Canis lupus familiaris: one gene and its partners. The protein of the gene in region 1 interacts with the protein of each later gene in a pairwise test. Links are inferred from orthologs where the notes say so. Each region holds a gene or a part of one and is shown in the gene's direction. Other genes may lie near its edges.

Evidence for each region. The genes of interacting proteins can lie anywhere in the genome.
Region 2: the proteins of NIF3L1 (region 1) and CDKN2C interact in binary tests that used the Homo sapiens proteins (3 or more experiments, as listed by UniProt). The two-hybrid records come from large-scale screens. The link is inferred for Canis lupus familiaris from reciprocal best matches to the Homo sapiens genes NIF3L1 and CDKN2C.
Region 3: the proteins of NIF3L1 (region 1) and NATD1 interact in binary tests that used the Homo sapiens proteins (3 or more experiments, as listed by UniProt). The two-hybrid records come from large-scale screens. The link is inferred for Canis lupus familiaris from reciprocal best matches to the Homo sapiens genes NIF3L1 and NATD1.

Annotation. Positions count from the first base shown.
Region 1 is NC_049258.1:9,947,642-9,951,715, forward strand, and holds part of NIF3L1 (NIF3-like protein 1), read left to right. Parts: intron 1-951; coding exon 952-1,090; intron 1,091-4,074. UniProt on the Homo sapiens protein: May function as a transcriptional corepressor through its interaction with COPS2, negatively regulating the expression of genes involved in neuronal differentiation.
Region 2 is NC_049236.1:10,264,077-10,268,595, reverse strand, and holds the start of CDKN2C (cyclin-dependent kinase 4 inhibitor C), read left to right. Parts: upstream 1-1,432; 5' UTR 1,433-1,602; intron 1,603-2,053; 5' UTR 2,054-2,064; coding exon 2,065-2,193; intron 2,194-4,519. UniProt on the Homo sapiens protein: Interacts strongly with CDK6, weakly with CDK4. Inhibits cell growth and proliferation with a correlated dependence on endogenous retinoblastoma protein RB.
Region 3 is NC_049226.1:42,920,762-42,925,069, reverse strand, and holds the start of NATD1 (protein NATD1), read left to right. Parts: upstream 1-1,221; 5' UTR 1,222-1,242; coding exon 1,243-1,348; intron 1,349-4,308.

The DNA of each region.
Region 1 (4,074 bases):
GACCTCGTCCTCTATATATTTATTTGTTTATTTATTTATTTTTGAGAGAGAACGTGTGCACCCGTGAAAGCAGGGTTTGGAAGGAGGGGCAGAGAGAGAGAAAGAATCTTCAGCAGGCTCCACCCTGAGATTATTACCCGAGCCAAAATCAACAGTTGGACACTTAACTGACTGAGCCACTCAGGTGCCCCTACATCAACCCTTTACATATTTTTTCTATTTCATTGATGGCATCATCATCTACCTTACTTTCCAAGTTTCTGCAACCTGCTTTGCCTCTCCTAAATCCAAGCCCTGCTTAGTTTGTCCCCAAGTCTGAACTGTTTCTCTTCTTTATTTGCTTTGTCACCATAGTACTTGAAATTCTGATCTTTCATCATCTGGGACATGAGTAGTCTTGCTAGTGAGCCCCTACAAGAGACAGCCCATGATTTTTAGCATAATGTACAAAGCCCTTCATGACTAGCTATGGCTTCTGTCCCCATCCCTTGCTCTGCACACCAGCTATAGTGTCTGAGCTCATGCCTTTACACATTTCACCTATCCCTTTCCTACCACACTGCACCTGACATCACTCCTTTCTTTTTTTTTTTTTTTTTAAACTTTTTTCTGGTCTGGGAAACACAAGTCCGTAAAGCCTTTGATTCCACTTCCTCCAAGTACTCCCACCTGAACTCCCAGCTCATTTATTTTGTCATTGCTTTGGCTCCCATAAAATAGTACCTCTCTTGTATTTAAGCACTTTTATTGTGGTTAGTTAACTAAACATTTGCCTTTACAGAACACTGAGCTCCTAGAAATCAGAGAATGTTTTTGTCATTTTGCATAACCAAACTTTAGCCTGGTACTGGGTATAGTAAGCTCACAGTGCATATTTTATTGTCCTCAGCATTTGCTGTTTGTTTTCTAGGACTGAAATGGACAGTTTTTCTAACTTCTGTTTCTCTTCAGCCTCTGCTTCTACACACTGGAATGGGACGGTTGTGCACACTGGATGAATCTGTTTCCTTGGCAACCATGATTGATCGAATCAAAAGGCACCTTAAACTATCTCATGTTCGCCTTGCTCTTGGGGTAGGAAGGACCTTAGGTAAATATGTACTGTTTATTTGTCCAGTGTACCTACTAATGTAGTATTATGTAGTATATGGGCCAAGTTATAGCTCTTGGTTATATTAATATAAGTGACAGGAAACATTAGTTCACAGAAGATGGATGGTTTATTTTATCAATCAGGGTGGGCTCGGTTATCTCATTGGCTCAAACAAGATTTATGTCTCTCATATTTGGTGTTCATTTCAAGTCAGCAGAAGTCTCTTCACCATAGGCTGATCAGTGTTGCAGAGGAGGCATTTCGGAGGGTCTTAAACACATCAGTTAAACATTCTAGCCTGGAATGTTTTCTGTTCAACTCTTGTCCAGAATTAATCACACTGCCAGTACAAGTCAGGGCATGAAATGTAGTCCTACCATGGGCCACGAAAAGAGCTGTTAATTATTATTGCTCTAATTATAATGCAAATATTATATTTTACAATACTGGTGATATTTTATAGTGAGGTGATAAATAGTGATCCACTACAGTTTGAGTCTTGTAGCCAGTGTCTTATCTTTTGGCTTTTCCCAGTATCTTGGGGAACAGAAGAAAGGAACAGAATAGGGCAGTCCGGGTGGCTCAGCGGTTTAGTGCCTACCTTCAGCTTGGGGCGTGATCCTGGAGACCCGGGATCAAGTCCCACGTTGGGCTCCCTGCATGGAGCCTGGTTCTCCCTTTGCCTATGTCTCTGCCTCTCTCTCTCTCTCTCTCTCTCTTTCTTTGTGTGTGTGTGTCTCTGTGTCTCTCATGGATCATGAATATCTTTAAAAAAAAAAAAAAAAAAAACAACATTTGTTGGGCCTAGCAACATACTGAATGTCCTAAGTATGTGAATTCCTACTGCAGAGGCAGTGAGTGGAGCATAGTTGTTATGAGTGTAGATTCTGAATGACTTGGGTTCAAATTCATCTGTCCTATTCGCTGCATGACTTTGACAAGTTATTTAACACCCCTGTGTCATGGTAGTCTCATCTGTAAAAACTGCAGTAATAATAAAACCTGACTCATCAAGGTAGTATAATCCATGTGACAGGGCACAGTGACTGGCACACATTAAGTATAGTACATGTTAGCTGTGTGGTAGGATTATTATTCCCATTATATTACAGGTGAAAAAATTGACATTCAGAAATATAGGTAACTTAGTCCACAACAACTCATGGGAGTTAGTTTCCAAAGAAAATGGATGGTAGAGATGAGATTTGACTTCTGATCCAACTCCAAAACTGCTTTTTTGATTATTTTCTTTAAGACTTAAAATTTTTATTTGATTAATTATTTTTAAAGATTTATTTATTTATTTTAGAGTGCATGGGCATGTGTAGAGGGGTGGAGAGGGGCAGAGGGGGAGAGAGACAATCCTAAGCAGACTGTACCACAGGGAGCTGGGAGTGAGGCTTGATCTCATGACCCTGAGATCATGACCCTAAGATCAAGATCTGAGTTGAAACTCAGAGTCGGATGCTTAACTGTGTCACCCAGGCATCTCTGTTTTATTTTTTTTTTAATTAAAGTGTAGTTGACATATAATGTTTCATTAGTTTCAGGTGTACAACATAATGATTCAGCAAGTGCTCACTAGGTGTGGCCACCAATCTGTCACCATACAATGCTGTTAAAATACCATGAACCATATTCCCTATGCTGTACCTTTTGTCCTCATGACTTATTCATTCTGGAAGTGTCTCCTAACTCCCCTTCACCTATTTTGCCCATTCTCCCTCCGCTCTGGCAACCGTCTGTTCTCTGTATTTATGGGTCTCCTGCTTTTTGTTTTTTTAGATTCCATATATAATTCCTCATATGGTATTTGTCTTTCTCTCTCTGACTTTTATTTCACTTAGCATAAAACCCTCTTCGTCCATCCATGGCAAGATCTGCTTTTTTGTGGCAGAGTAAATGTTCCATTATGTGTGTTTACTGCATCTTTGTCCATTCATTTATTGATGAGCATTTAGGTTGCTTCCTTAGCTTGGCTGTTGTAAATAATGCTGCAGTAGACATAGAAGTACATATGTCTTTTCATGTTAGTGTTTTTACTTTCCTTGCATAAATACCTAGTAGTGGAATTATTAGGTCATGTGGTATACATATTTTTAATTTTTTGAGGAATCTCCATACTGTTTTCCACAGTGACTGTACCAGTTTGTATTCCCATCAACAATGGATGAGGGTTCCTTTTTCTCCCCTCCTCAGCAACACTTGTTATTTCTGGTCTTTTTTACTTCAGCCTTTCTGATAGGTGTGAATGATACTTTATTGTGGTTTTGATTTGCATTTCCCTGATGATGAATGATATTGAGCATCTCTTCACATATCTGTTGGCCATCTTTATGTCTTTGGAAAAATGTTAGTTCAGGTCTTCTGCCCATCTTTAAATCGGATTATTTGAGGTTTTTGTTTTTTTTTCCTTAGTGTCAGTTGTCTAAGTTCTTTTATATATTTTGGATGTTAACCTGTTATTGGATTCATCATTGCAAATGTCTTTTTCCATTCAGTAGATTGCCTTTTTCATTTTGTTGATGGTTTTCTTTGCTGTGCAAAAGTTTTTTTATTTTGATGTGGTCTCAATAATTTATTTTTGCTTTTGTTTACCTTGCCTGAGAAGACCTATCTAGAAAAATATTGCTAAGGCTAATGTCAGGGAAATGACTGCTTATGATTTCTTCTAAGAGTTTTATGGTTTCAGGTCTCACATTTAGGTTTTTGTTTTAGTTTTTTTTGTTTTCTTTTTTTTTAGGTTTTTTTTTATTCACTCTTGAGAAACACCAGAGAGAGAGAGAGAGAAAAAGAGAGAGAGAGAAGCAGAGGGAGAAGCAGGCTCCATGCAGGGAGCCTAAAGTGGGACTCGATCCTGGGTCTCCCAGGATCACGCCCTGGGCTGAAGGTGGCGCTAAACCGCTGAGCCACCCCAGCTGCCCTCACACTTAGGTTTTTAAACTGTCTTGAGTTTGTTTTTGTGTATGGTGTAAGAAAGT
Region 2 (4,519 bases), on another chromosome or scaffold:
GCCCGCGTCCTAAACCAGCTCCCTCTCCCCGCCCGCCCCCGCCGGGCTCCGGGAGTCCGAGGTCTGGAGTCGCCGACTGCATCCCGCCAGCCGGCCTCAGGGAGGCCAAGCCCGGCTCGGCCGGGCAGAACGCCGCTCCAGCGGGGCCGGCGGGGCGGGGGGAGCGGGGCGGGGAGCGGGGCGGGGGAAGCGGGGAGCGGGGCGGGGGAAGCGGGGAGCGGGGAGCGGGAGCCGGGAGCCGGGAGCGGGGCGGGGAGCGCGAGGGCGGGAGGAAGGGCACGGGCGGGCGGCGGGGAGCGGGGCAGCGGGAGGAAGGGCGCGGGCGCGGGCGCGGGCGCGGGCGGGGCGGGGGCGGGGCCAGCGAGCCGCGAGCGCGAGCGCCTCCCGGGCAGGGGGCGGGGCGTGGGCGGCGCCCGGCCTCCCGCTCCCGCGGCGCTGCAACTCGGCCGAGCCTCCTTAAAACTCTGCCGTTAAAATGGGGGCGGGTTTTTCAACTCAAAAAGCGCTCAATTTTTTTCTTTTCAAAAAAAGCTGATGAGGTCGGAAAAAAGAGAGAAGAAACCGGCACCGTCTCCGCAGCGGCAACAGAAGCAGCAATTGTTTGAGCGAAAAAAGAAGCCAAGGCGGGTGGGAAGGAAAAGAGCTGAAAAGAGGACAACGCGCAAGTTGTCTGCAGGGGTGAAGAGAGCGGGGCCCGGCGATCTGGGGGACCAGCTACAAAAGAAACTGTCAGCGGGAGCGCTGCGGCTGCGGAGGGAGCGGCGGTGCCCGGCTCGGCCGCGGGCACAGTTCGCTGGCGGCCGCGCCCCGTCGGCGGCACGGGCCGGGGGCACGGGCCGGGGGCACAGGCCGTGGGCGGCCGGAGGGCGGCGGGGCGGCGGCGGGGCCGGAGCCGCGGGGCTGTCGCCGACGGGCGGGCAGGACCCGCTGCTCTCGGGCGTTGCGGCGGCCCCCGGTCCCCGGACCTTGGCCTGCGCTTCCCCGGCCGCTCCCGACCTCCGGAGGTCCCCCGAAACCCGCGGAAGGAAGGAAGAGCCGGCGGCGGCGGTTCGAGGAGAGGCTGCGGTGGGAAGTCTGGACCGGCTCGGTCGTAGGCGGGAAGCCAGCGGCGCGCCGCCCCAGCAGCCCGGGCCGCGTAGACGGGGCCCGCACGGCCGCCCCGCGCCCCCTTCCTCGCGCCGCCGGGGGTCCCGGGACCCGCGGGGGCCGGCATGAGCGACCTGCCCGGGGCCCGCCGCGCGCCCGGCCGTCCTCGGAGGCGCGCTCGCAGCCCGGCGCCCGCGGCCCGGGAGGCTCGGCGAGGCTGCGGCGGCGCGGCAGGCGGGCCGCGGAGCCCTCCCGCGCGGCGTTAGCCGGCGGGGCCGCCCGGAGCGAGTCGGGGCTCCCCCGAGCAGCCGAGGCCACACAGGAGCGTTGGGACCTAGAGCTTGAGGGCCACGAACTGCCAGCGGCGTCTGCCTCCGCGCCGGCCTCCCCGCCGCGGGCGCCCTCCCCGCCGCGGGCGCAGCACGACCCTTCGGCACACGGATGGAGACCGGGCCCTGCGAGGACCTGCCCCCGCGGTTCTGGCTCGCGCGGCTCCAGCCACCGCCGTGAGCACGGGTGGGTTAATGCCTCCTCTCCCCCGAACCCCTCCTGCCGCGGCGCTCTACGCCCTGGTCTAGCCGCCGAGGTCCCCGCACGCAGGACTCGCGGAGACCTGTATGTAGATACGTGACAGCTCTGCCAGCATTTTACGTCCAGAGCAATTTGCCGGCAATGTATAGACGTCTGTGTGTCTTTCTGTTGAGTCACCAGAATTCTTCACAGGGGTTAAGCTAAAGAGCGAGGAGCGGAGCCCCTCTCCAATGGCTCAGTTTTGCTGAATAATCACGTGTGAACCGAGGGGCGGGCTTTTGGCAGGCAGATCTTACTAGTATTTACTACCAAGCTCTACTCCAGATTAACCATCCCAGTCCTTCTGTCAGTCTCCGATGCCATCATGCAGCCTGGTTAGGAGCAAAAGGAAAGGGGAAAAAGAAAAACAACTAATTCATCTTTTCCCGATCGTCAGGACCCTAAAGAATGGCCGAGCCTTGGGGGAACGAGTTGGCGTCTGCAGCTGCCAGGGGGGACCTAGAGCAACTTACTAGTTTGTTGCAAAATAATGTAAACGTCAATGCACAAAATGGATTTGGAAGGACTGCGCTGCAGGTTGGTATCCAGAGAGGTGGGGAAAACAGGTCAACAATGTTGCCTACGTGACCCGGGTTTCTGGAATAACGGCTTTTAAGCTTTCAGGGGTACAGAATTTCACTGTTTTTTAAGCCTACTTGGTTGCCATATTTTATATCTTTAAGTGGATCCGAGTCCCCAAAAATGACGTACTTTGAACAAACTCGTCGAATTCAATGACATCCTCGATATCAGATGGGTTCCAGGTTTGGTCTTAATTTTTGGAATGTTTTTGTGACGGTGGGGATTTAAAAGTAGTCGAAGCAGCGCCGAGGTGTGTGTGTGTGTGTCTGTGTGTGTGTGTGTTTTAAGACAGCTCTGTAAACACATTATTATAGTTATTATTTGAAGTAAATACTCTGCTATTAGTGGTTTCCGTGCTTTGCTCCAATAATTGGCTTTAACGTTAATTTTCTTGACTCCTGGCGAGGGTGTTTTTCCTTCAAATGCTTCAAGTTTTGACAAACGACCTTTCCTCGTTTGGAATAGGTGGCCTGGGCACAGGGACAGGATGTACATTTCACAGTTAATGCAATACCATCCACCCGTTCGGGATTGAGGAGGAATAAAAAGTTGAATTTTCTAATCAGAGCTCAGTTTGTAGTATTTTTGTCTCTGAGGTCATGCGGTGGTATGTTCTAATTTTCAGTAATTAGATTTACAAGCAAGAAATGAAACATGTCCAGCTGCCAAGTATTGTACCTGATAATTTTTTTCCTCCTCTGAATGTTAATTATCATGTAACTTAGTTGAAAGGCTTAGAAACAGAAAAATGGCAAAGTAGTCTCAAATAGTTGCTTTATCAAAGTTCTAATAGTGTTCTTATAAACCGTTCTTATTCGGAAATGCAACACTTGAAGCTGTTTTTGAAAATTCATTGGGGAGAAGGTTTTAGAATGCTTTGTTTTACTTACAAGAATTAGACTTAAAAGTAGCAGGAGATACGCTATTAACAGACGAAGTTCAGTCTGTACATTTTTAAATCAGAACATACCGGCCTTGCAAAAATTTCAGTATTAAGGAAATTTATGCATAAATACTAAATTATTTAATCTTGTTATTTCACGTAGATTCTATGGGATAAGGAATTTTTTTCTTTGTCCACCTAGTAGTTTTTAATAGCTTTGATGATGATAACAATGCTACAAATTTGATATATTGAAAAGTTTCCTATTGAAAATCCAAAGATTATATAAATTTGACTAAGAATGAGCAATTTAACCCATGTTCAGAATAAGATCTTACAGGACTTTTGATGAACAGGAAGACTGACAAAAAGTTTTGATATTTTTAATACAACTTTGCAATCTTGTTTATATTAAGCACACTTATCAATATACTAATACCCATTTATTGTGGCTTAACCCTAATTTATATAATGAAACATACACAAACAGGAGTCTCAAGGTTTATTTTCAGTATGTATAATCCTGACTCTGAAGTTGTGTCATAACTCAAGAAAGAACTTTCTTTCAAAACAATTTCCAGTATTACTATTATTTTCTGTGAAAGGCGAATTTTCTTCTATAATTATGTTCATTTAACCTGGTTGCAAAAGCTTTTCCCCCCTTCCTAGTGTAAGCTTTTCAATCAGGATAATGTGAAAGGCCTTAATCGCGCATTTGCTCTACAAAGATCCAAGGTGTCTGTCCCTTATTTTTCCCGGTCTAGATCTTTAAATGTGACTAAATCTTTAGAGATAGTTGTGGCAAAAATTAGATTGTGTTCGTTTTTAACTAATAAATATATTTTATTGAAATTCTCAAAAAATAAATTATGTATCATTTTTACCATTGCTCCAAAGGCAAGGCTAGGTCAGCAGGGTTTTATCAACAGGGAAGCTTAATACCTTGGCCATCTATATAGTTTGCATTCATAAAATATTATTCATTCTAAATATATTTTATTACTTAATTTGTGATTATTTTTTAAATAAACAATTTAAAGTGACAGATCAACTTTGTAGGAATTTTTCAGTGGATTATATTTGATTTCACAAACATTTGAGTGTCTACTATGTACTCTGTTTATTATAAATTTAGGTGATTATGAATATACCTAAATATAATTGAAACCAGTTAAAATGCTGAACTATTTTCTGGGATGTTAATGAGACTACATTTTTTTTCACAACTAAATTATATGTATTATATAATCGCATGCTGCTCTACAAGACATTTTATAATTATGAGAGCCTAACAGAGACCCTATTAGGATGAAATATGTTCAAACAACAGTAGATAAATCTTTCTCGTGTGAATTATTTGTATGTTGATAGCAAATTTTAATACCACATTCTGACTTT
Region 3 (4,308 bases), on another chromosome or scaffold:
ACTAGAGTCAAGCAGAACTATTTTCCAGGCTCGTGATAAGAATGTTCACTGAGGGGGGGGCGGCGGGGACTAACCCTACGCCTTGCCCGCAGCCGCGCCGCCGCGCCCTCTGCGCCCCCGCCCGCGCCCCCGCCGCCCCGTCGGGCCAGCCCGGCCTGATGGCGCAGATGGCGTCCACGGCAGCCGGGGTGGCGGTGGGCTCGGCTGTGGGGCATGTCGTGGGCAGCGCCCCGACCGGAGCCTTCAGCGGGGGCAGCTCGGAGCCCGCCCAGCCCGCCGCTCAGCAGGCCCCCACCCGCACTGGGCCCCAGCCCCTGCAGATGGGGCCCTGCGCCTAGAGGTCAGGCAGTTCCTGGACTGCTCCACCACTCAGAGTGACCTGTCCCTGTGTGAGGGCTTCGGCGAGGCCCTGAAGCAGTGCAAGTACGACCACGGTCTGAGCTCTCTGAGCCCCCTGCCCTGAAGAGACAGGTACGGACTGGTGCGGATCCCTGAGCCAACCCTGCACCCACCTTCACCCCTTCACCGACAGCCGGACCATGACCTCAGATTGTACCCATGTAGCTGGGATTGGGAATGAGGAGGGGGGTTTCTCACCCCACAGATGACCGGAGACGCAAATGTGCAATTAAAAGAGTTTATTTTAGACCATTAAAAAAAAAAAATGTTCACTGAGCGCAGGTGTAGCTTACCAGGGCTTTGCCCCGCACCCGCTGCGCACACAGCAAGTGCTTAATAACTGGTGGCTTCGAGGGGAGGATTAGAGATCCCCGTATATAGGTCGTTTCATGTTCTTGAGAAGGGGTCCGTGTAGGGGGCCCAAGTGGCTCGCGGGTCCAACGCAAGAGGGCACAGCGTCCCCGGGGCGGACGCGGCTCGCGTTGTTTTGTTTGGAGGGACGAGTGGCACGCGGCCAGGGAGGCGCTCGGCCCCTTTAAGAGTCGAGTGGAATGTATCAAAACAGAAAGGCCGCGTGCCCATTGGCCGCGCGCCGCACGTGACCTCACAGCTGATTTCCTGGCCCCCCTCCTTTTTTTGTTGCTGCCGCCGCCGCGGCCGCCGCCGAGTGTCAGTTTCTGCGCCGCCGCCTGCGGTCCCCCGGCCGTCCCGCGGCCCCCCCCCCCCCGCCGCCGCCGCCGCCGCCCCGCCGCGGGCCCGCGCACCTCTCCGCGCGTCCGGCCCCGCCGAGCCGGCTCGGCCCGAGGGTCCCGGCGGCCGCTGCCGGCGCTGCCCCGCGCGCAGATGGCGCACTCGGCGGCCGCCGTGCCGCTGGGCGCGCTGGAGCAGGGCTGCCCCATCCGCGTGGAGCACGACCGCCGGCGCCGCCAGTTCACCGTCCGGCTCAACGGTAACGCGGCGTCCGGCCCGCCCCCGCCTTTTGTCTGCGAGCGAGCGGGGCCCGCCGAGGCCGCCCCCTAGCTGGGGCGCGCGCCCTCGGCCCCGGGCCCGGGAGGGGCGTCGCGAGCGCGCGCCGCGGGGTGGCCTCCGCGGGGCCCCGCTCCGCTCCCGCTCCGCCCCGCGCTCCGGGAGCAGGCCACGCGCTGTGCCCGCGGGCGAGGCGGGGGCGCGGCCGGCTCGCGGGGCAGGGGTGGGGGGAGGGGGCCCCGGGGCAGGCAGAGGTCCAAGCAGGGCCGGCCCGGGTCCTCCGCCGCCAGCACCCAGCTTCAGGCCGCAGGGGACCCGCACCTGCTCCAGCGCCGCCGTGTCCCGGTGTTGGACACCCCCTGGGGGCTGTTGTGGGAGTCCTGGAGAGTGAGTCCACCGTGACCTCCTGCCTCTCCCTGGTGGCCACACGGCTTCTGGCCGCCCCTGGGAACTTTAGCTTTTCTGCACCCGGGTTGGGGGCATCTCCTGGGCAGACCTGGGGTGAGGGAGAGAGGGGTGTCTGCTTCACGGGGGGCGGGGGGGGGGGGTGCGATAGAGGGGAAGGTGTCACCATCGGTCCGTTGGCTCTGAGACTTTGGCCAAGTGACCTCCACTCTGTGTGCCCCGGTTTCTCCATCTCTACAATGGGAGTGACACCAGTGCACACCTGAGCCCTGGTTGGAGGGACAAAATGCTGTAATAATGAGAGTAAAGAAGCCTTAGAATAGCCCTGGCAGAGCAAGTGCTGCTCTACTGATGGTGGTTTTGAAAACCAGAAAGCAAAGTCTTCATTTCCTGTAAAGAAAGTTTCCACCACTTACTAGCCTGTGCCCCCTCCTGGCTAAGAGGTCTGAGGGGACAGAAAATAGAATGATAAGATCTAGGATCAGGAGCTCTCTATGCACCCCCTCTCTGCATTAATAACTTTTTCTTCCATCCCAGCTGGGCCCCCCTGCGGCAGTGTCCAAGCCAGAAGGGCCCTCAGAGGCCATTGTGCCCATTTCTGACAAGGGAAGACAGAGGCTCGGCGAAGGGAGAGGCTCGCCTAAGGTCAGGCAGTGAGTTAGGGCAGAGCTGGGATAGGATCCCCCCTAGTGTGAGCCCTGGAGCTGGGCTTATCCAGCCTGTACTTGCACGGGAAGTCAGGAGGGGCTGGGGCAGGGACAAGGACGGACCGCATCCCTGCTACAACATCCCCTTCATGTGGGCATTCTCACCCCACGTTACGGATGAGTAAACTGAGTTTTGAACGGTAGGGGAGGAGTGACCCCCCAAAGTGCCAGAGCTCAAGCCCAGGCCCGACTGACCAGGCACCGTGTTCTTTCCGTGTGGACGCAGGTTCTTCCACCACTGTGGTGCTCACTGTGGTCCAGGTGACCTTGACACTCCAGTTGGCCACTTGTGTGGAGGGTCCTTGTGGCTTTTCACAGCTTCTTTTCTGAGGTTCCAGGGAGGCCTGTGTTTCCCTAGGGGCTCAGGAGGTTCCTCTGTACAGTCAGAAAGTTTGGGGTTTTCCTTTTTGTTGCCAATCAGTCCAGCCAAAGGACACCCCTCCAGGATTGGCAATGGTCAAGGCTGGATGTGCCTAGCCGTTTTTCTAACCTTGTCTCCTGCCCTTCCCTGAATGGCTAACTCCATCATGGACTGGGGCTCCCCAGCCAAGCCCAGGGAGCAGTGGGAGGCCACCAGCTTCTGTCCAGCCTGGGAGGGGGGTCTGGCTGTGTATATGGGGAGTAGTAGGGTGAGAGCATCCATGTCTGGGCCTGGGCCTTTCCTCAGCTGCAGAGGGTAACGTCCTGCCATAGAGCCCCCCGAACAGCAGGGCAGGCCCTGGAGACTAGCTCAGGGTGCCTACCGAGGGAGGTGAATGCTCAGCCTGAGAGCCAGAGCAGCCTCTGGGGCCATCCCCCTGGCAGAGCTGTACCAATGAGTTTCTAGCGAGCTCCGCTTGTGGGCGATGGCAGAGGCTGAGCCACTGCATCCGAGTCCTTGCGTCCCGGGCGGGTTCTGGGCATGTGGCGGGGGGGGGGGGGGGGGGGGGGGGGGTGAGGGGAAACTGCTCTTCCTGTTTTATAGATGAGGATCCCTAGATACAGGGAAGTGACTGGCTTGCTCAGGGTCTTGTACTCAGAGGTGGGAGAACTGGGATCCCTCACACAGGCTGTTATTGAGTGCCTACTGTGTACCAAACATTGTTCTAGGTGCTGAGTACTGGTAGGCTGACAGTCTAGACGGGCAGTAGACAATATGTGAAGTGTCAAGTGTCCTAGAAGGCAAGGGCCTGGTTAGGCAAAGGCTGCTGCCTAGAATCCAGGGTCCAGGGGGGCCACTCTGGGAACGTGCCAGTTACTTAAAGACCTAAAGGAGGCAAGAAGGGAGAGCTCCATCAGACAGAGCACTCCAAGTGGAGGAGGCAGCAAGACCGAAGGCCCTGTATGTCATAGGTGGGGACACCAGGGCACATAGCCAGTAGGCATCTAAGGCAGCACTGAGCCCCTGTCCCTGGGAAGTCCCTCCTTGGCCTTAGCTCTGACCTCCCAGCCAGGGCTGAGTGTCCCACGTGTTGCAGGGAGGAAGGTCATCTGGGTCCTAGAATCCTGGTGCTTTCTGCATGCTCCCTGATCCCCAACCCTGGGGCAGGGTAAGCCCTGACTTCCAGTCCCAGCTCTGCCGAGTGACCTCAGGCCAGCCAGTCCTGACACCTCTGTGTCCCAAGCACTTACCTGTCCCTCCTAGGACACTTGCTACACCCTCCTGGACCTCAGAATCACCTTGAGATCATGAACTGTAACTAGTTTTGAGAACAGTTAAAGCTGCTCCACTAGTGAAGGCCCTGCCCTGAGTTTCTCCACTCTGGTACCCTCCACCCAGCCCCAACTCAGCCCCAAAGTCCCCGGGGAAGTTATCAGGAGAAGCAGTCACTGAGAAATTGTCTTCCCTGGC